Macaca mulatta: one gene and its partners. The protein of the gene in region 2 interacts with the protein of the main gene of each other region in a biochemical or structural test. Links are inferred from orthologs where the notes say so. Each region holds a gene or a part of one and is shown on either strand. Other genes may lie near its edges.

Region 1 (4,126 bases), on a different chromosome or scaffold from region 2:
TGTTTGAAGTACCTATGTAATGCAAGTATGTACGGTACTAAAATACCTATATTTCCAAAAACATCATGTGGGGTAGCCCACAGTCTCTGCAGAAGCATCATGAGTAACCTGTGCCTTTATACTTTACAATTCGTTATTGGTTGCTGTTAAAGGTATGATAACAGATGAAGAAAAAAAACTAAGTATGCATATACTTTTCCAAACACACACATACACAGCTTACAGTGGAATCCCAATGGAAACAAGTCAAGTGACATCTGATGTAGGATCTATAAAATGTAGACTCTGCAATAAAAAGCCAAAGGCACGTAAAAATATATTTTAACTTTAAAAATAACTTAGTTACAGTAATACTTTGCCTGTGTCTTACCAACATGTAGCTGACAGTCAAAAGTTTGCAATATAGATATAGAGGGATATATAAGAACTACAAGAAAATCCCCAAAACCCATAAGTTCAAATGTGAAAACAGAAAAGTTTTAACACTGGAGAATTCGCTATGGTGAGCCCAAGCAGTATAGAAAAGAGTCTACAAAAAGGCTTAGGTGTTAAATAAATTTTGACTTCCTCTTGCTCAGAAAATGTCGGAGTGCTGTAAAGTTCCATAAAGTTCCTCAGTGTGACTCGCTCAGACCTTCATAGCTAGTGCCAATCCTGGCCAAGCCAGATTTCTTGTGTGTCTGCAAACAATGTGTGAGCCGAACATCACCAATGCCTGCTGAAAAATGGGCTCTGACTCACTTCCTCTTTTTGCCAAGATAGGTTTTGCTGTGTTGTTTTTTCCTAAATTGTTTTTGCAAGGAGGGCATACCAGGTAAAAAAATACTTTGTAAGAATATTATTTTAGAAAACCCATCACAAAATTGCAAATACAGCTCCGGAAGCCCTTCTCTTCAACTGTGGTTAGTTTAGTTTTTGTACCTTTTACCCCAAAGGAAAAAAGTTGGCATCCTGTTACTTATTTTTATCCATGACATTCAGCACCTCATCCAAAAGTGAGGGCCCAAGATCAAGCTGCAGGGAGAGGAGGGAACCTGTAAGGTCAGAGAGGGACTCCTCTGACTTAGTCTTTCCCTTGATGAGCTCGCATGGGGCGGGATGGTCAAACATGTCCTCAGCTGGCCAGTCGGGGTACTGTTCGGACAGGCTGGAGGAGTGGCTGTCCCTGCCCTGGCTGGACTGAGATGCAGAACCGCTGGAGCCCCACGAGGTGTCTCCCTGGTGGTCTGTCCCATTCTCCAACAGACTGCTTTTCTCCTGAGCTTTTTCCTCCATGACAGGCTCGCAGCTAAGCCTGGGCAGCTTTGCTGGCCCAAAGGACTCCTGTTTGGAATTAAATGTCACCGGTGACAATAAGGGCAGCATGAGAGCTTGGGACCCTCCAATGGTCGGGAGGGAGATGGCATTTTTGAGCACCGGGGAGGGTGTTTCTGTGAACACAGAGTCCGAGGTGCTGTTGGCCCGGAAGAACTCGTTATGCCCAGGGAACTGGCCCAGGTGTGCTTTCTCCTGGTTTCCAGGTAAAAGCTCGTAGTTCCCTTGAAGAAAGGAAATATCTCCAAAGACATCGTGCTGGCCCTCTTTGCCGATGTGGATGGTGTGGCGAAAGTCTCCAAGCGGGGGACTGATCATGTCGGGAGACAGAATGTCCCTCAGTTTAAATTTCTTTCCTTTCTTGTTATTGGCTGCTTTCAGGTAAATTGGGGTCTTGGCCGGCATTTTGGAATTTGAGAATGTCTATTTTGCAAGTGGAAAAAGGGGCCACTTTCTTCACAGATGGTATATGTTTCTGAATAATCCTTTTTGATAGGAACTGTCACATCATTTTTTCAAGTGGCTTCAGAAGTGGCTTTGAAATGAGATGGGGTCAGAGAACCTTCCTGAGGTTATGGCCAAGTGAGGCTTGCTAGAGAGCCAGTTACATCATCCAGTCTTGACCACAACCAGGAGAAACCTGGAGAAGAAACCAAAGCAGGTTATAATCTAAAGACTCATTTGGGTGCCCTAGGGCCTCCCTTTTCACAAGAGCCTGTAAATAATGGCAGGGCCAGTTCCAACTAATGCGAACTTATTGTTTCCCTCCAGTAAGTGGATAAAAATTTTCACCTTAATCTTAAAGAGAAAACAAAACAGGAAAGAGAAAGACCTAAAAACCCCAAATCTATGACACCAGTACTTTTTAGACATAGCCATGAACACATCTTCTGGACATGTCTACAGTTGTAGTCATTTTCCTCTATTCTAAGAATCGCTGTAAGCATAGGATCAGTGATTTCAGCTCCTTAAATACAACTGGACTTGTTTTAAAATACATTTTCCTTTTGCTTTGATGTGCATACTAGCAAGACTAATGATATTTCATTGAGTTCCATACGTACATAAGTTAATGCAATAAAATGAATAGTCCTACAAGGGAAGGTACTGGAATTATTTAATAAGTGACAATAACTTATATGCTACTGTCCTATAAAATATTAGTGGAATACATTCTTACAGATAAGAAAATGGAGATTCAGAATAAGCCCTTCCCCCAGAAAGTTACCTTTTCTCAATAACATATAGCCAATAAACAAGACAGCTAGAGTTGGAATTGGGTTGTGGCAAAGTATTGGGCTGTCGAGGATGTCAGGATTTGAAGGCATTTTGAGGTGGGAGGAGATGAACAAAACCGCTGCACCTCAAAGAGACAACATTGTGATTTTCTATTATAGGCTGGGCCTTCACTTGGGAACACCTCTGAAACATTACTGATAAGGCTATATCCTCCCTGCAGTAGGCAGAATTCGAGGGGAGCCCCCATGATCTGCCTCCTGGTGTTAATGACTTTGTAAGTAGAACCTATGACTGGCTTCTAACCAAGGGAATATGGCAAAGGTGACAGGTCACTCCCTGATTAGGTTTCATTATAGGAGATTCCATCTGAGCTGACAAGGGAGAAGACTTGCTGGCTGTGGGGAGGTGAGCAGTTATACTGTGTGAGGGCCTATGGAAATGAAATCTGCCAACAAAGTTGGGGAGCTTGGAAGTGGATCTTTTCCCCAGTTGAGCCTCTGATGAGACCATCACCCTGGCTCACACTGAATCACAACTCAGTGAGATGCTGGAACTCAGCCCCACCCAGATTCCTGACCCACAGAACCTGTGAGATGGTAAATGTTGTAAGCCCTCAAGTTTGTGGTCATTTGTTACCAGTGTAGAAAGCTAACACATCCTCCCTGCACATACTATATGGTAAGATTAGGAGGGCATGAGCTATAAGAAGGCATTGGGGATGTAATGTCCTCTTTTGCCGATGAGATGCTCTTATCTTTAGAAAATGATCCTCCACCTCTGATGCTGACATAGAGAAGCTAAACCCTTCCCCACTGCAGGAACTCCCCAGATGAGTCTACCATGACCTCTTCCCTCAGGAGCTCCTCCCTCTGGCCGCAGAGCCTGCAGATAAATACTCCAAGGGCTGGGTGGGTTAGCTGGTGTTTTGAAGGGAGCCACATTTGCTCTGTAGCAGCTGGAGGCTGTCTGCATCTGCCCCATATTTCTTTCCTTTCAGCAAGAGTTTTAAATTCATTTACCAGTGGCAGGTGACAAGAACTGTGCTCCACCACCCACTGGCTCAGTAACAGCTAACTCAGTTTGGGAAGCAGCTAGCTCAGCGTGTCAGCATGCTGGCCAGCAACCCAGGCCTGAGAAGCCTGAGAACAATGCACAGGAGACAGCCAGCCCCACTCTGGCTTTGGGTGTGGGGAGGAGGCAGAGGAAGTACCAGGAGGTTTGCACTCATGCAGAGTGGGCTGACCATGGAGCTGCCAACAATGACATGATCGTGGGTCCTGACACTCGCTCTCATAGTTTTAGCTCTAATTTGGGTCTTGTTGTGGTAACAAAAGTTAAAGCTCACGTTCTTCCTGTTAAAATCTCAGAACTTCCTTCCTGTATGAGTATACAATGCCTAGTCCTGGCCTAGGACCCCTGCTGTTCAGAGGTAGCCTTCCTGCCCTCTGGGCACAGTGTGGCTGACTGCCTGCAGGAGCAGCTGGGTGGCCTGAGGAACAGCTGCCCACAGGAGTGGTGTTCTCAGCACACATGGCCAGGAAGGCAGCTGCCAGGGAAAGATACAGTTTGTCCA
Region 2 (5,403 bases):
CGTGCTGTCACATGGAAAGAACAGTGAGAAGATAGCATTGCAGCATGAGTCCACTTTGCCGGTACCAGGTGCACATACAAATACCACAGAGAACCTCTGAGAGGCTGTGGCCCCAAATTCCAATGGTGGTTTTCTCTGGGGAATAGATTATGGGCTGTTTTCTGTTTCCTCTTTAGACTATTCTGTCTTTTTCAACGTTTCTACAAAGAACAGAAATACATAAACAACCCACCAGAACGTGTCAATCCATGTAGCTTTCCAAGACCCACAGGGGATCCCCAAGGCTGAGTGCATCCTCATGGGAATGCCTCGGGAAATGCCAGACACTTTCCAGCCTGGGTCTCACAGTGGACCTGTCTGCCTCTGCAGGACCAGAAAATCTACATCTACACCCTCAAGGGCATGTGTCCCTTAAACACACCCCAACGGGCCTTGGACACTCCAGCTGTCGTCACCTGCTTCTTGGCCGTGCCTGTTATTAAAAAGGTGAGGTCAGGGCAAAGGCGGGTATGCAGGTGTCTGATGTGCTTCCATGCCTGGGAGGCGTCTCCTAGCTGGGAACAGCCCAAAGCTGTGTCAGGGTGGGGACTGCAGAGCCACACCTTCTAGTACCACCTGGCCTAGGACACAGCCTTAGAGACAGTGGGAGGAAAGATATCAGATCTGGTCCATCATTAGTGCCTTCTGGTTTGCAAAAACCTAAGTCCTCAGCCAGACTGAGGGCCGAGTGAAAACCCCCTTTCACATGCAAATGCCCTTACTCAGGTGGAATGACTGTTGGTGCAAATGGCACAGCGAGTAGTCATGTGTGTGCCCTTCCCCTTCAGAGGGCAGTGGCATCCGGAGCCTCTTTCCCACCTGCCCAGGCCAGAGCCACCCCACAGCCACTTGGTCACCAGGTCCTGGAGGTCCTGATCTTCTTCCCTCCATCTCTGCCTCCCACCAAGTACTCACCATCTACACCAAACACAGTTTCTCCTTGTCCAGCATGGCCCTGCAGACTCATCTCTTTAACTTCCTAGCCCTGGCCTTTCTAAATGAGACCCCAAGGGGCACTCTCCCCAATAAAGGGCCCAGCCAGCTGTGCTACACCTTGGGATTAGCCCCAGCCTCTGTGAGGCTGTCCTCCGGACCCTGCCGGCCCTAGCACCCTCCCCACAAAGCACCCGACTCTTGTGCTGGGCCCTTCACATCCTAGCACCTCTTCCCAGACCGCCTCCGATTCAGCTCTCAAGACCAAAGGCCTTGGCCCCTCCTTTGAGAAGCTGCCCCTCAGTGGGAGGTAGCTCCCTAGCTTTTCCAGGCTCCTCCGCCCACAGGATTCAGGCACGGCTCAGGCAGTTCTGGTTTCATCCACCCTGAGGGGCCTGTCTGTGCAGTAGGCACCCTCGGTAAATGCACAAGAAGCCTTTACTGGTGTTGCTTTGTTAAAATGTGGTGACTGTCATCATCCAATTCCAGTTTGCCCATCTACAAAATAGGTATAAGAAGAGACAGAGAGAAGGCCTAGCATACCCAAAGGTCTAGGCCGGTGCACTTGGTAAAAGAGCATTATTATTACTTCTGGATGGAAGCAAAATACATGAACTCTTCTCTTCACCCTTCTTCAGTTTCATTTCTTTAAAAAAAAAAAAAAGTATGAAATAAACCTTAGAGTCATTTATGACCACGGCCCCACAGCAGGGCTAGGCAGCTTGGGACCCGGCCCGCACCAGAGCGCAGGAGAACACGACACAAAGTGTTATTGAGGCCACCACTGGCCAGAGCCCCCAGCCAGGGCACCACCTCCTGCACGACCAGAGGGAATAAAGCGTGCTCTGTGCAGGGCCTCCTGTGCAGGGTGTCTGCCCCCTCCGAGGCTGCCAGAGCAGAGCCTGCATTCTTGCACGCGCACGCACGTTCACACCCAGCCGGAACGTGGTGCTCACCGCCCTGGCCGGGGCCTGAGCCAGGACTCCAGATACAGACCTGGAGCCTATTTGCCTTGGCTGCCTTCTTTCCCTAAAATCCTGGGGATGGATTTCGATACGCTTTCTTACAGCATGTTGTCCTGGACAGTGAGCTACGGGTCTCCATTCCATTTCCCTGCACAGCCAGCCTCCTGAGCTCCCCAGCTCCCCACAAGGAGGCTTTCTGCCCTGCCCCCTCACTGGCATGAGGCCCAGCTCCCTGCTCTGCCCTGACTCCAGCTTTGTTCTGTAGACCTCTTCCCACCCCCACCACAGCCGACGTGGTGTCTAGGCTGCGAAGCTGCACTGTATTCCTGGCTCTGCCCTGGGAGGTGCCCTGGGGTGGTCTGGGGTGGGCCCAGCATTCAGCATGGTCCCTGCAACTTTGGCCTCTGCCCAGTGACCTCTGGCGGGTGTAGAAGAGCTCATGCTTCATTGAGAGGGTGGGGGGCACCCTGAGGACCCTGTCAATGTCAGCTCAACCACAGGCATCTCAGATAGATGTAAGCTGGGATGAGGGCTTAGCAGGCTGAGACAGGCCTCCACGAGAGGGTTGAGTAGGAAGCAATTTCTTCCAGAACTAGTTCAGCAAACACATGTCCACCTGGAGCAGGAGCCAGGTGGAGTCACAGGGCCACCAAGATGAAGGAGACTGAGCCCTTCCCTGTGCCAGGCCAGTGCCACGGGGATGCTGGTAGGCTGGGAGCCCGTCCTTATGGAACACTCCAGCTGGTAGGGGGTGGCAGGCAGGGGGCAGTGCACAGACACTTGCCATGCCCACACTGCCGTCACATTAAGCACACCCAGAAAAGGGCGGGCACCAGGTCCTGCCTCTGAAGGAGGCCTTGGTGGCCTCAAGGAGAAGGCAGCTCCCTGCTGCTCGCCCTGCAAGAAGCTGGCACAAGCAGAGGCGGCCCATGTGGTCCAGGTGACACGCGGTCTCACTTGGTGCCACAGGCCCTGCCTCTCGCTGGCATATTCCTTTCTTTGCTGCAGGGATGGTAGACATGGCTCTGCTGAGTCAGAGCTCACTTCCTTAGGAGCAGCCCCAGCCTTTCTAAGAGCTTGGCTGCCCTGAAGCGTGTTGGTGGAACGTGTGAAATGGAAGGATGTGACCCATCCCTGTCTCCTTCCTGCAGAATTCCTACCTGGTCTTAGCGGGCCTTGCCGATGGGCTTGTGGCTGTGTTTCCCGTGGTGCGGGGCGCCCCAAAGGACAGCTGCTCCTACCTGTGCTCACACACAGCCAACAGGTCCAAGTTCAGCATCGCAGACGAAGACGCACGGCAGAACCCCTACCCAGTGAAGGCCATGGAGGTGGTCAACAGTGGCTCTGAGGTCTGGTACAGCAATGGGCCGGGCCTCCTTGTCATTGACTGTGCCTCCCTGGAGATCTGCAGGCGGCTGGAGCCCTACGCGGCCCCCTCCGTGGTTACGTCGGTCGTGTGCAGTTCTGAGGGCAGAGGGGAGGAGGTCGTCTGGTGCCTGGATGACAAGGCCAACTCCTTGGTGATGTACCACTCCACCACCTACCAGCTGTGTGCCCGGTACTTCTGTGGGGACCCCAGCCCCCTCAGGGACATGTTTCCCGTGCGGCCCTTGGACATGGAACCCCTGGCAGCCAGCCACACTGCCAACCCAAAGGTGCCCGAGGGGGACTCCATCGCGGACGTGAGCATCATGTACAGTGAGGAGCTGGGCACACAGATCCTGATCCACCAGGAGTCACTCACCGACTACTGCTCCATGTCCTCCTACTCCTCATCCCCACCCCGCCAGGCTGCCAGGTCCCCCTCCAGCCTCCCCAGCTCCCCGGCAAGTTCTTCCAGCGTGCCTTTCTCCCCCGACTGCGAGGACTCAGACAGGCTACACGAGCCCGGTGCTGCCTCTGACAGGTCTGAGCATGACCTGACCCCCATGGACGGGGAGACCTTCAGCCAGCACCTGCAGGCCGTGAAGATCCTCGCCGTCAGAGACCTCATTTGGGTCCCCAGGTAAGTCTCCCGAGGTGAGGGCACCATCGAGGGCATGCCCACAGAGCAAGGAGACCCCCTGGGAGCCAGGGAGACCCGCTGGCTTCCTTAATGGTCATGTGGGGACCCAGCAGGTGCTGTGCTTCCAAGAAGGTTGGTTCCCTCCGTTGGGAATGGGAGTGATATATTTAGCAAGTCTAAGAGTGGTTGCACCGAAGCTTATTGCCTGCCAGAGAGCTTAAGGTGCCACACAAGGAAAGCCACAATCAACTGTGATTCAGCTTCCACTGGGAAACTTCTCCTCTGCTTTGGGGTCTGTCCCCTCCCCATAACTTAATCCCTTAGCAGAAACTGCATGTCCGTTGCCTCCCTCCCGCACCCTTCTGCACACCGGCTTCATTCCCCTGAGAGCACGGCTACCGACAAAAACGCTTCCCCTTCTGGGTTTTGGTTGCTTAGGCGCGGTGGAGATGTTATCGTCATTGGCCTGGAGAAGGATTCTGGCGCCCAGCGGGGCCGAGTCATCGCCGTCTTAAAAGCCCGAGAGCTGACTCCACATGGGTAAGACTGAGTGGCAGCTCCTTTAGGACCCAGGCAGCAGCATGAGCACAGAAGGCCCCATAGCCAGGTCTTGCACAGTGGCTTTGCTGCCCCTCCATTCTCCCAAATAGTGTATCCACCAACTTGGCTATAAGGCAAAGTGGAAACAAGATGGGGCCCCGCAGACAGCTCCAAGGGGCTCCACACTGGCCATGGCTCCCTGTTTCTGGAGTACCCAGTGCACCTGTAGATCAAGTACCCTACCTAACGAATGCCTCCAGGGCCAGAATTCAGCTGCAGTTGACATGCAGATGCATCCAGGTGATTGATTCACTGTTCTTCCTGCCAAGCAGGAAACCCTACCCGAGGTGTCCACCTGCCCACACAGCACCCTATGGGGACACATGACATAGGCACACCTTGTCATCTCCAAGCCTGGGGTCTCAGCTCCTGCCCTTCCTGGGCTGAGGCATGGTTCAGTAACTGTCTGTGGGTGAGTCCCCCCAGGATTATGCCAGTCTCCTCTGCGAGGGTATGCTGGGCAGGGTGGCCTATCCCGAACATGGTCTACATGGCTGGAGTGATATGAGGCTGGTACCAGCTGCAGCTCCCCACAGTGTTTACACCCCTCACTTTGACTACCGAGCCCCACATGGTAAATCTCCCTTATGAAAAGTCCTCAATTCAAATTGTGTGTGTGTGTGTGTGTGTGTGTGTGTGTGTGTGTGTGTACTTTGGAGCTCTTCCACTTCACACTAGGCCTGTTTTCCTGTAGCGTGAGTTATCCCCCATCCCTGGGCAAGTGGGTTTTTATTTCATAAGAGGGTGGAGAAACCCCACTCAGCTTGTTTCTCCCAGAGCAGGACAATGACCAAGGAGGCATCCATGGCAGTCTCACTCCCTTGCCTGCCAGCTTTGAACTTTGGCAGTGAATCCCGGGCC
Region 3 (5,029 bases), about 56 Mb from region 2:
TCCTCTCCAAATAAAGTCCTACAGCAACTAGTATCTAATAAAAAGTCCAAGTAAATTTCAGACACTGGCAAAGTACTTAAAAACTGCTAAGGACTTCACCACCAACTCATGGTAGGTGGCAATGTCATTCCTAATTCTGTTCTTCCCTTTTCTCATGCTTTCTTGAGTTTCTTGATGTCTTCCTCTTCAAGCCATGAATATGGGTAAGTAAAAGTGGGAGCTATTACCTCTGCCAAGAAAACCAATTTAAAGATAAAGGGTTTAATTCAACCTAAAAATATCTTAGGATGGGCATTTAAGAGCCCAGAGACAATAAACACTTCCTCAATGCTACGGTCATAACTAGGCAGTAATTTTAATGCACTGAGAGAAAGAAATATGGGTTTTTTGAAAAAGAGCACCTTGAAAATGCCAATCCATGCCAAGGCTTTTATGAAAAGCCAAGGCAGATTAACAGCCTGTTTTGCTGGGTTTTTTTTGAGACAGGGTCTCACTCTGTCACCCAGACTATACAAAGTGCAGTGGTGCGATTGCAGCTCACTGCAGCCTCGACCTCCTGGGCTCAAGCAATCCTCCCACCTCAGTCTCACGGGTAGCTGGGACCACAGCTGCATGCCACAATGCCCGGCTAATTTTTTGGTAAAGATGGAGTCTAGCTATGTTTCCCAGGCTGGTCTCGAACTCCTGAACAGCCTGGTGTGATACTGGCTGGTACACTAGTACCTGACTAAAATCTAGCTAAGCAACACCTAGGAAGTGAGACAGGATACTGTTCTCCTGGAGGCTAAAATTGTTACTAAATACTTCTAAACTTTTCTATTCCCCTGTGGTGCTTCACACTTATTTTCTCCCATCCCATTACTCTGTATACAAACTCTCAACATATAAGTTTAAAGTTCAATGCAAAACACATGGAAACAAAGTGCTATGCAAAATTGATTAAGTTGCCAAAAGCAGATTTTTTCTCTTCACATAGGCCTGCGGATTATGCTCTGAAACAGTGTCTCACTGTCTGCTGGCTATACAACATTATCCTCCCACTCCTTCTATGCCCTCCCCTGTACTGCAGGAGATGGAAGCCTGGGAACTACATTTTCCTCATTCTCTAACAAGGGGTCTGGGTTACAGTCCACCACTCAGAAGCTGTCACATGGGTTTTACAAGGTGAAAGGGAGAGATGCGATGCTACTACTATCCTAACAGGAACAGGCAGGTACATGAGCTTCAAGACACGAAATTCTACAATAGTCTCCCCACATTTCCTGGCAAATCACCACTTTCATGTTGAAGGTAGCTGTGATCATCTCTAGCCATTTCCTGCAGTTCTAGCAACTTTATGACTCTGAAAACTAATGGCATAGGTCTCTGAAAACTAGTGGCATAGGTCTGAGCTCATGGAAGCACCTAATCCCCTCTATTCCATTCCTTCCTCCTTGAACCTGGAGTAAATTCTGGCTTATGTAAGAGGCACCAAACAAACAGACAAGAAAAAAAATAATACTCTAAATACCTCATAATTCTGTTTCTGTTGTTTCTGAAGTGCCAAAGATTCTTCTATGGAGAGCAGCTGCGTAGGCATATGGTGAAGCGGTAGAAGCCGAGCTGCTGTGATGTCATCAAGATGCTGCTTATCCCTGCACCGCCGCTCTTCTGAGGAAATAGGAGACCCGCTCTTCTGACAATGACTAGACGAATCATTTTGTCGAAAAGGTAACCTGATGAAAAGAAAACTTGTGCTATATAATCAGACTATTTTATTTGTAGACACATTTAAAACATTCACACAAATGAGCTTTACCTCAGCAATTAACTCTCCTCCAAAGGTAATAGTAAGCAGTTTACCAGTATTTATTGCTCTAACAAACAGGGGTGTGTTTGTGTGCACACAGGCTCTTGCCTTTTCCTTCCTTATTCAAACCTTATATTTCATCTGGAGCTTTTTTTTTTTTTCATGTATCATTCAAAGAACATTTGCAAAAGGGCTTATTGCCCAGTAGAAAGAAAGAAACATGTAAAGTTTCAGTGCAATATAATACCAGAGGTACTATGGCAGATATCTCAACAAGATACACTGGAACATTAGGAAATGGCCAGTTCTAGTGGGAGACAGGGAGGCTGTAAGAAAAGCTTCTAAAAAGCTTTGAAGAGTCTTGGAATAACTGCTTACCATTTAAATAAGGAGAGAAGTGCATCCCAGCAAGGGGAGTGAGAGAAAGTACAGAAGGTAGAGAGACTCAGCTTTTCTGGCTACACAGAAAAGACAGCCAGAAAGAAGGCTGGGAAGTAGGCTGGGCCCAGACTGCAATGAAGAGTTCTCCGTAACAAATTCAGATTTCCATCTTACAAATTTCACTCTGGCAGCAGTGGAGACTGACTGGTAGTTAATAAGACTAGAGGTAGAAGAGGCCACAATTATAGCCCGAGAGAGATGAGAGTCTTCACTTCGACAGAAGATGAAGAACAATTATAGAGATGAAGATCAAAGAAATAAGTAGGTCTTCATGGCTAGCAGATACGGAGATGAGAAAAATGGAAGATACCTTAGGGGAAGAAAACAAAGAACGTAGTGGTCCTATTAGGAAATATGGAAATTACCTTGGAAAGAAACAGAAGTTCCACTTTGTACATGATTAAGCTGAGGTGCCTAGGAACACCCAAGTGGTCAAGTTTCATGGTTAATTGGCTATGCAAACCTAAAGTTCTGGGAAGATCTGGGATAGAGGTGGACAGGGGTCAGCCTCCAGCATCCAGGTGATACATGAAACCAGAAGAGTATGCAGAAGGAAGAGCAGAAAGGACCCAAGGACACTAAATGACCCCACCTTCCAACCTCCAAGCCACTTCTCACATGGAACCCTCTAAATCCTTGTCTATGGCATAAGGACTCCTCAAAGCCCTGTCTTTCCTGTTCTCCTCTAACTATACAGAAGGCTCCCTGTCTCTTCAACTTCCTGAATTCTTGGTAGCCCTCATCACTATTCCCTTACCTCTCTCCCACTCCCAGCTAAATGACCGTAATACAGAACTGGGATTAATGTATTCTTTGTTGTATTTATTGACTAGATGATGGTTCTAGTTTCCTAAAATGTCATCCTGGAAGTGAAGAAAGACACCTCACTGTACACAAGAGATGACTTGATCACATTAATGCAGTATAATCCTGATTTTCTATACGGCAGAAATAAAATGTTTTGCGGTTAAAATGAATGCTGGGGTAGAGTTAAAGTCTAACAAAAAAGAAGCATGTGTTAGGCACTTTTCACTAGAGATTTTCTGTTTTTCAAAGAAAGGTAGTAGTAATTTAACTTTGTATTTGATGTTACATACTTGTAAATACAGTATAGGAAGGTACCTTTTGAGTTGAATGTTACATTTGCTGCAAGTAAATAGCAATTATTTTCAAAAAGACTTTACTTTTCCTGAAATTTCAGAAACAAATTTATGGCAAGGAACTGATAAGGAGAGTTTCTGCCTATCCTGCCTGAATCTATTTTCAGTTTTTCAAACTCTCCTCAGCTTCCTTCCCCCTGAAACTGTTATTATGTAGCTTAACTCTTTTCCAAGGGTGTAAACCTTGTGTCCTCATCTAGCTCTGAAACTCCTTGAAGAACATGGTGTTGTATTACATTATACATGTATACATTACAGCCATGTTTTTAAACTTGAGGTATAACATCAAAAAGGCAAAGAAGTTTAAGAATCTTGACTTCACTGTGTCCCCACAACACCTGCTGCTTGCTTACATTCAGTGAGCATACAAATAATTTTTGCTGGAAAGCCGATCAGCTCCTGCAATTGCTTTATCCTTAGTTCACAGACTAATCAAAGAGAGTACACTTTGATAGTACACTAATTAGAGCTGTACACTAAAAAATAGTTCTGAAAAAAAGACATCATAATAAATTCTCTCCAACTCTGTGTTTATTATGAAATATTGGCTAAGCGTCCTGAAATTTAATATTCCCCCAAGTGCTATTTAAGACCCTGTCAATTACTTAGTTTCAAAACTAAATATTTTTCAGCATGAACCTTCCACTCCAGCCAGGCTGGTCTCAGTGTTTCCACAATATGTTCTTTCCTAAATACAAGTAATTCTCATACAAAGCCCATGGAACTTAGAGCATTCTCCTTATTTATGAGAAAAGGTCTTATTATAAGTTGCCCAAGCTGGTCTACAACTCCTGGACTCAAGCTGTCTTCCCACCTCAGCCTCCTGAGTAGCCTAGGACTACAGGCAAGCACCACGACACCCAGTTTCTCTTAACTTTTTGAGTTTAACAAATATCATGTTCCTGTTATAGGCCTGTTTCCGATGGTACTTACACATTGGTTTTAAATTTATGCAGCTGGGGCACTGGATTTTTGGCTCGCATTTCTAGCACTTCCATGTAATGAGGCTTCTTCTGAGTCCCACTAGAAAGGTCTGTCAAGTTCTTAGTACTTGCGTTTTCTTCTGACTGTTGTTCACCTTGGTCTGCAATGGTGATCCTCTGTAACCTGTCAATAAACAGGTTGTCAAAGCTGCTGGAAGTATCTTCTGCTTGACTTGAAACACGACGCTGCGGGTGATGCTCACTAGCTTCAGATGAAGACGGTACCCTGTCTCTGTTGCTGGAAGCTGGGCCCTTAATCACTGTGTATTCAACCTCTGGAGTCTCTCCATCACCTTCATGAGTAGGATGTCCAAGTCCCTGGTTTTGTGAGGTTGTTTTAGATGACTTGATATTATCTACAGAGGAACACCCAGGAACTAGTGATGAAGTATCAAGTATCGGGTCAGAATTCTGGGCCTTATCTGTACCCACATCAACTTCTGCAATTGCTTTTTGCCTTAGCTTACAGTCTAAACTAACAGGGTGAAACAGTTCACTTTTTCTTCTAACTTCTTCATGTTCTGCAACAGCAGCTTTCAGTTTGGCAACAGAGTCAAAGATCTTTTTACCTTTGTCGGGCAATTTGCAAATGAATTTTCTGTCAAATGGAAAAGAATACATACACATTACAGCCATGTTTTTAACTTGACATATAA
Region 4 (5,403 bases), on a different chromosome or scaffold from region 2:
AGTACGAATGTGGGACATCCAGATTAATGTCTGGAATTTCGTTGTAAATTCTCTCATAACCCTACAACAATGAAATTACACACAGAATTGTTAGCCAATATAAAATATATGTCATAAAACACAATCGATCCATCACTATGTCATCAATCTATATTTAAGACCAAATGTTCAAGTGGTTAAACTGAAGTCTGATTTGAATAGTGAGAAGCACAGAAAGTAGATTTGTTACAGTGTTTTACAACTGCTCTCTTTTATTAGAGTCAGGAAATAACAGACACTGGCAAGGTTGAGGAGAAAAGGGAAGGTTTATATGCTGTTGGTGGGAATGCAAATTAGTTCAGCCCCCGTAGAAAGTGGTTCGGAGATTTCTCAAAGAACTCAAAATAGAATTACCATTCAACCCAACAATCCCATTACTGGGTGTATGTCCAAAGGAAAATAAATCATTCTACCAAAATGACACCTGCATTTGTATATTTATCGGGTACTATTCACAATAGCAAAGACATGGAATCAACCCAAGTGCCCATCAATGGTGGATTAGACAAAGAAAATGTGGTACATATACGTCCATGGAATGCTACATAGCCATAAAAAAGAACAAAATCATGTCCTCTGCAGCAACGTAGATGCAGCTGGAGGCCATTATCCTAAGAAAATTATCACAAACATAAAACCAAATAATGCATGTTCTCACTTGTAAGTGGGAGCTAAACATTGGGTACACACAGACATGAAGATAGGAACAATAAACACTGGGAATTTCAAAAGTAGGGAGGTGGGAAAGAGGACAAGAGTTGAAAAACTACCTATCAGGTACTGTATTTACCTTAGGGACAAGATCATTAATTAGAAGCCCAAACCTCAGCATCACTCAATATACCCATCTAACAAACCTGTACATGTACCCCTCTGATATCTAAAATTTAAAATGTAAATTTAAAAAATAAGTAAAATTGGTTACATAGCTAAAAAAATTTTTTTAAATACTGTTCTCTTAAAAGAGCTGTAGGCAGACACCAGACATTGGGCAAACTCCTTTCCCATCTACTTCTCTATATACACTTAGTATGTTCTTTTAAAAAATACAGGCCAAACACAAACCTCACAAACATTTAAAACAAGAATCATAAAATTTTAAATAGGAAAAAAGTACTTTATAATTTGTTAAAAGTTAAAGGTTCATGTTTCTCGCTAGATATAAAATAGAAATTGTCACATCTTAGAAACCGAACCCTTGAGGTAGAATACATAATCACATTTGTCAAAGTAGGTTAAAAAAAAAACAAAAAACCCACTGCAGTGTTACTTTCCAAGAAATGGTTGCAAAAGGTTCAAACCTCAAACATTACCATTAAGAAAAAATAAAACATATAGGCATAATAACACTAAACATACCTAAAGAAAAGTCACTGACAATTCATAATCTGTATTCAATCATATATTTAAGGCATAATCCTAAAAGTTGTTCAAAAATAATGGTATACTTACTCTTTTCATTTGGTCTACAGTAATGGTAGAAGACTTCCAAAGGGACTTTAATAAATCCAAAATCATCTTAAATGTACTTTCTCCAGTTGACTCTAAAACCATTATAACAGCCTAAAAATTGAATCAATGAGTGAATTTTTGGTTAATTTATATATGAAACCGCTCCTAAATGTATCAGATGCCTTTTGTAATAGTGAAAATTTAAAAACCACTTCCTCCTTTGATATTAAAAAAAGGATGTACATTATTTAAAAAGCATAAGTCACTATGCTACAAAAAGGAACACTTAATAATTCTCTTTGACATGGCAAGGTAATCTTACTTCATATACAAGCTCATGGTGAAAATGAGGTACTTCCAGTTCCTTAAGGCAATGTTCAGCTTCAGATATGTCTCCAGAGAGTAAATATTCTTTCAGCAGCATATCAATCTATTAGATTTAAAAGTTGAGATGTGTTAGAATTCCTAACTTTTAAAATATCGTGCTTGCCTACAGGATTATTTGCCCTCATTCCAATATAATGAAATAATGGGTAACAGCTAGTAACATATAGACTGGACATGGTACTATTATCACAGAATTTTTCATAATTAAAAAATAAATCCCCAATTTTTAAATGGTTCATAATTATGACTCAAATGCAATGCTTCAGTGTGTCTGAATCACTGAGATCTATGAGTAGGTTTATAATGGACGTGTCCTGGGTTGTGACCATAATGCTTTAGTGTGCCACTAAAAATAAGGGATTTTAAATACCACTAGAGGGCACTAACAAAGTTTCAACATAAAGTGGCATAAATATTTCACTTCTATCAAGATGCTCTTAATAGTGCACTGAGAGCCAAAAAATGAGAGATGATAATGGGGTATTACTAGACAGGGCAAAGATTTCCACACAGTTTCTCTTTTCTCTACAACTGAGAATTTGAAACTCATTATCTAAAATGTTCAATAATTCAGTTTCCAGCTGTAAAGAAACAAGTATTGATTTTCCTGCTCAAACTTGAACATCTCAAAAAAGTGGGAGAACTTTTTCAGCACAAGAGCTTCAGCTAGGAATATTTTTGCCTATATGTTCTTTGTTAAAATCCTCTTTGTATTTGGTGGGCACGTATCTAGTTGTCTGAATGTTGAATGCTGGCTGACTGAATTTTAAAAAATCGTATTTAAGTATCCTTCCAACTTTTATAATGTATTTTCATAAAAGGTAAAGTAAAATTTAATTGCTGTCATGCTTTAGGATGTAATATTTACATGTAAGTAAATATGTATTTAAATATTTACATGTAAGTAAATATTTAAAGCACAGCATTTGAATATATTTACTTTATAATTACAAAGTAATACATAATCATGCATCGTTTAATAGGGATACATTCTGAAAAGTGTGTTACATGACTGTCATGGTGCAAACATCATACAGTATACTCACAGAAACCTAGATGGTATAGCCTACTACACACCAGTGCTATAAGATATAGCCTATTGCTCCTAGGCTACAAATCTGTACAGCAGGTCAGTATATTGAATGATATAGGCAATTGGAACACAATGGTATTTGTGTATCTAAACATAGAAAAGGTACAGTAAAAATACAGTATAAATGATTTTTTAAATGATACACCTGTATAGAGCACTCAATATGAATAGAGCTTTCAGGATGGAAGTTACTCTGGGTGATTCAATGAGTGAGTGGTTAGTGAATGTAAAGGCCTAAGACATTACCCATACACTGCTATGCACTTTATAAACACTGTATACTTAGGCTACACTAAATTTATGAAAAAACAAAGTAACTGTGCTACAACATTACAACTGTCTCAATATCACTGGAGGATAGGAATTTTTCAGCTCCATTAGAACCTTGTGGGACCACCACCATCCCATGCAGTTCATCACTGACCAAAACATCATTATGTGGCACATGACTGTACTTGTTATTCAAATCATATTACTTATTTTTAACATTTGTTACATAACTTTAAAAGTATTAAAAATATACCCCATCAAATTCCATGCACTTCTGAGAATAAATTACAAATACATTTATACATTTCTAAAAGTCTTCTTTGATCCAACCCTTCCATGTAAGCAAATATCCATATAATGTCAACCTCAAACTCATATACTGGTAGTTTTATTTCCTTTTTTATCTTGTCAATTTTCTTTCTTGAGAGAGAATTCATACACCATAAAACATCTTGTCCAGTTTCCAAAAATATTAATTTTGGAGAGTATTACCATCTTAACAATATTAAATATCCTAATCCATAACCATGGGATATCATTCTATTTATTTAGGTCTTCTTTAATTTCTTTCAACAAGTTTTACAGTTTTCAGTGTACAAGACTTGCATTTCTCTTGTTAAATTTATTCCTAAGTATTTTATTTTTGATGCTATCATAAATGCAATAATTTCATTTCAGATCATTCATTCCTACTGTATATAGAATTGAATTTTGTGTACTAATCTTGTATCTTGCAACCTTTCTGAACTCATTTTTTAGTTAATAGTTTGGTTTCAGTCTTGGGGAGTTAAAAAAATGTGGATTCATTCAAATTTTCTGAATACAGATCATGTTACCTGGGAATACAACTAGTTTTATCTCCTCCTTTCCAATCTGGATGCCTTTTATCTTTCCTGCCTAACTGCCCTGGCATCTTTACTATTTTTATACCTCAATTTTTCTAATTATTATTTAATTTTTAAAAACAGATACTAAATCACAACATTACAAACACTGACTCATCTCTTTTAACATATATAAAAGCAAAAATGGTCAAGGGCTCTAACTACATTTTGAACTCCTTAACACTTAAGCTAGATACACATACACACACACACCCCTCATTAAAAGATTTACTAAAAATCAAAATTACAGTTACATGAAAAGATTATACTCAAAAATCAGAAGCACATGAACTACAAATCTTCTAGTTGCATGCCTTTTCTTAAAGAGATCTGCAGATAAGGAGTTTTTTTTTGTTTTTTGGTTTCTTGTTACAGAATACCACAATACAGCCAGAAAAAAAAAAATCCACAGGAAATAAATCTGGCATTTTAATGCAATAAATCGCTTTTTTTTTTTTTTCTGAGACACAATCTTGTTCTGTCACCCATGCTGGAGTACAGTGGCGTGATCTTGGCTCACTGCAACCTCCGCCTCCTGGGTTCAAGCAATACTGGTGCCTCGGCCTCCTGAGTAGCTGGGATTACAGGTGCGCACCACCATGCCTGACTAATTATTATGTACTTTTAGTAGAAATGGGGTTTCACCATGTTGACAAGGCTAGTCTCGAACTCCTGGCCTCAAGCAATCCACCTGCCTCAGCCTCTCAAAGTACTGGGATTACTATCAATTTTCTTTTAAAACACGCATATGGGTAGTGAATGTCCTCACAAAAATCTAACACTCTGATCTACTCTAGTGCTCATAATTCCTAACTCATTATTTAAGACTATCTAGTTTTAATTTACTTATATAAAAGCATATTTATTGAATAGCTAAAAGACAGAAAATCTCATTTCAACAGCATTTGAAAATTATTAAATAATAATATGAGAGAAAGATTTCAGGCATTCCTTTGAAGTTCATAGATGGCTTGCTTATAATTATTCATGAAAGCCCTTTTAACAGACTCATTTTTTATCATATAATTTATAATAAAAGCTCATAAAGTCAAATATAAAAGAATTATTTCATTTTCCAATTACAGCTGTAAGACCGAACTTAATTTTTGTCCATAAAAATAACAGCTAGTAGCCACAATTTATTTCACTCAGAGGAATACATGTAAATTAAGTTAAAGACAATACCCAATCATTACCTCTTTAACAAGGTGATTGACAGATTGCTGCCCACCTCCAGAGCCCCACACACTATCTTTACGCTTTCCACCTTTAGACATG

The links. The genes of interacting proteins can lie anywhere in the genome.
Region 1: the proteins of LRRK1 (region 2) and CDC42EP3 form a complex in vitro, tested with the Homo sapiens proteins (2 studies listed by BioGRID and IntAct, with this or other methods). The link is inferred for Macaca mulatta from reciprocal best matches to the Homo sapiens genes LRRK1 and CDC42EP3.
Region 3: the proteins of LRRK1 (region 2) and POLR2M form a complex in vitro, tested with the Homo sapiens proteins (2 studies listed by BioGRID and IntAct, with this or other methods). The link is inferred for Macaca mulatta from reciprocal best matches to the Homo sapiens genes LRRK1 and POLR2M.
Region 4: the proteins of LRRK1 (region 2) and PDCD4 form a complex in vitro, tested with the Homo sapiens proteins (2 studies listed by BioGRID and IntAct, with this or other methods). The link is inferred for Macaca mulatta from reciprocal best matches to the Homo sapiens genes LRRK1 and PDCD4.

What each region holds. Positions count from the first base shown.
Region 1 is NC_133418.1:87,288,579-87,292,704, reverse strand, and holds part of CDC42EP3 (cdc42 effector protein 3), read right to left. Parts: intron 1,955-4,126; 5' UTR 1,720-1,954; coding exon 955-1,719; 3' UTR 1-954.
Region 2 is NC_133412.1:91,432,274-91,437,676, forward strand, and holds part of LRRK1 (leucine-rich repeat serine/threonine-protein kinase 1), read left to right. Parts: intron 1-369; coding exon 370-486; intron 487-3,088; coding exon 3,089-3,942; intron 3,943-4,380; coding exon 4,381-4,482; intron 4,483-5,403.
Region 3 is NC_133412.1:35,013,081-35,018,109, reverse strand, and holds part of POLR2M (protein GRINL1A), read right to left. Parts: intron 4,972-5,029; coding exon 4,324-4,971; intron 1,716-4,323; coding exon 1,511-1,715; intron 1-1,510.
Region 4 is NC_133414.1:123,073,966-123,079,368, reverse strand, and holds part of PDCD4 (programmed cell death protein 4), read right to left. Parts: coding exon 5,322-5,403; intron 1,922-5,321; coding exon 1,814-1,921; intron 1,603-1,813; coding exon 1,492-1,602; intron 62-1,491; coding exon 1-61. UniProt on the Homo sapiens protein: Inhibits translation initiation and cap-dependent translation. May excert its function by hindering the interaction between EIF4A1 and EIF4G. Inhibits the helicase activity of EIF4A. Modulates the activation of JUN kinase.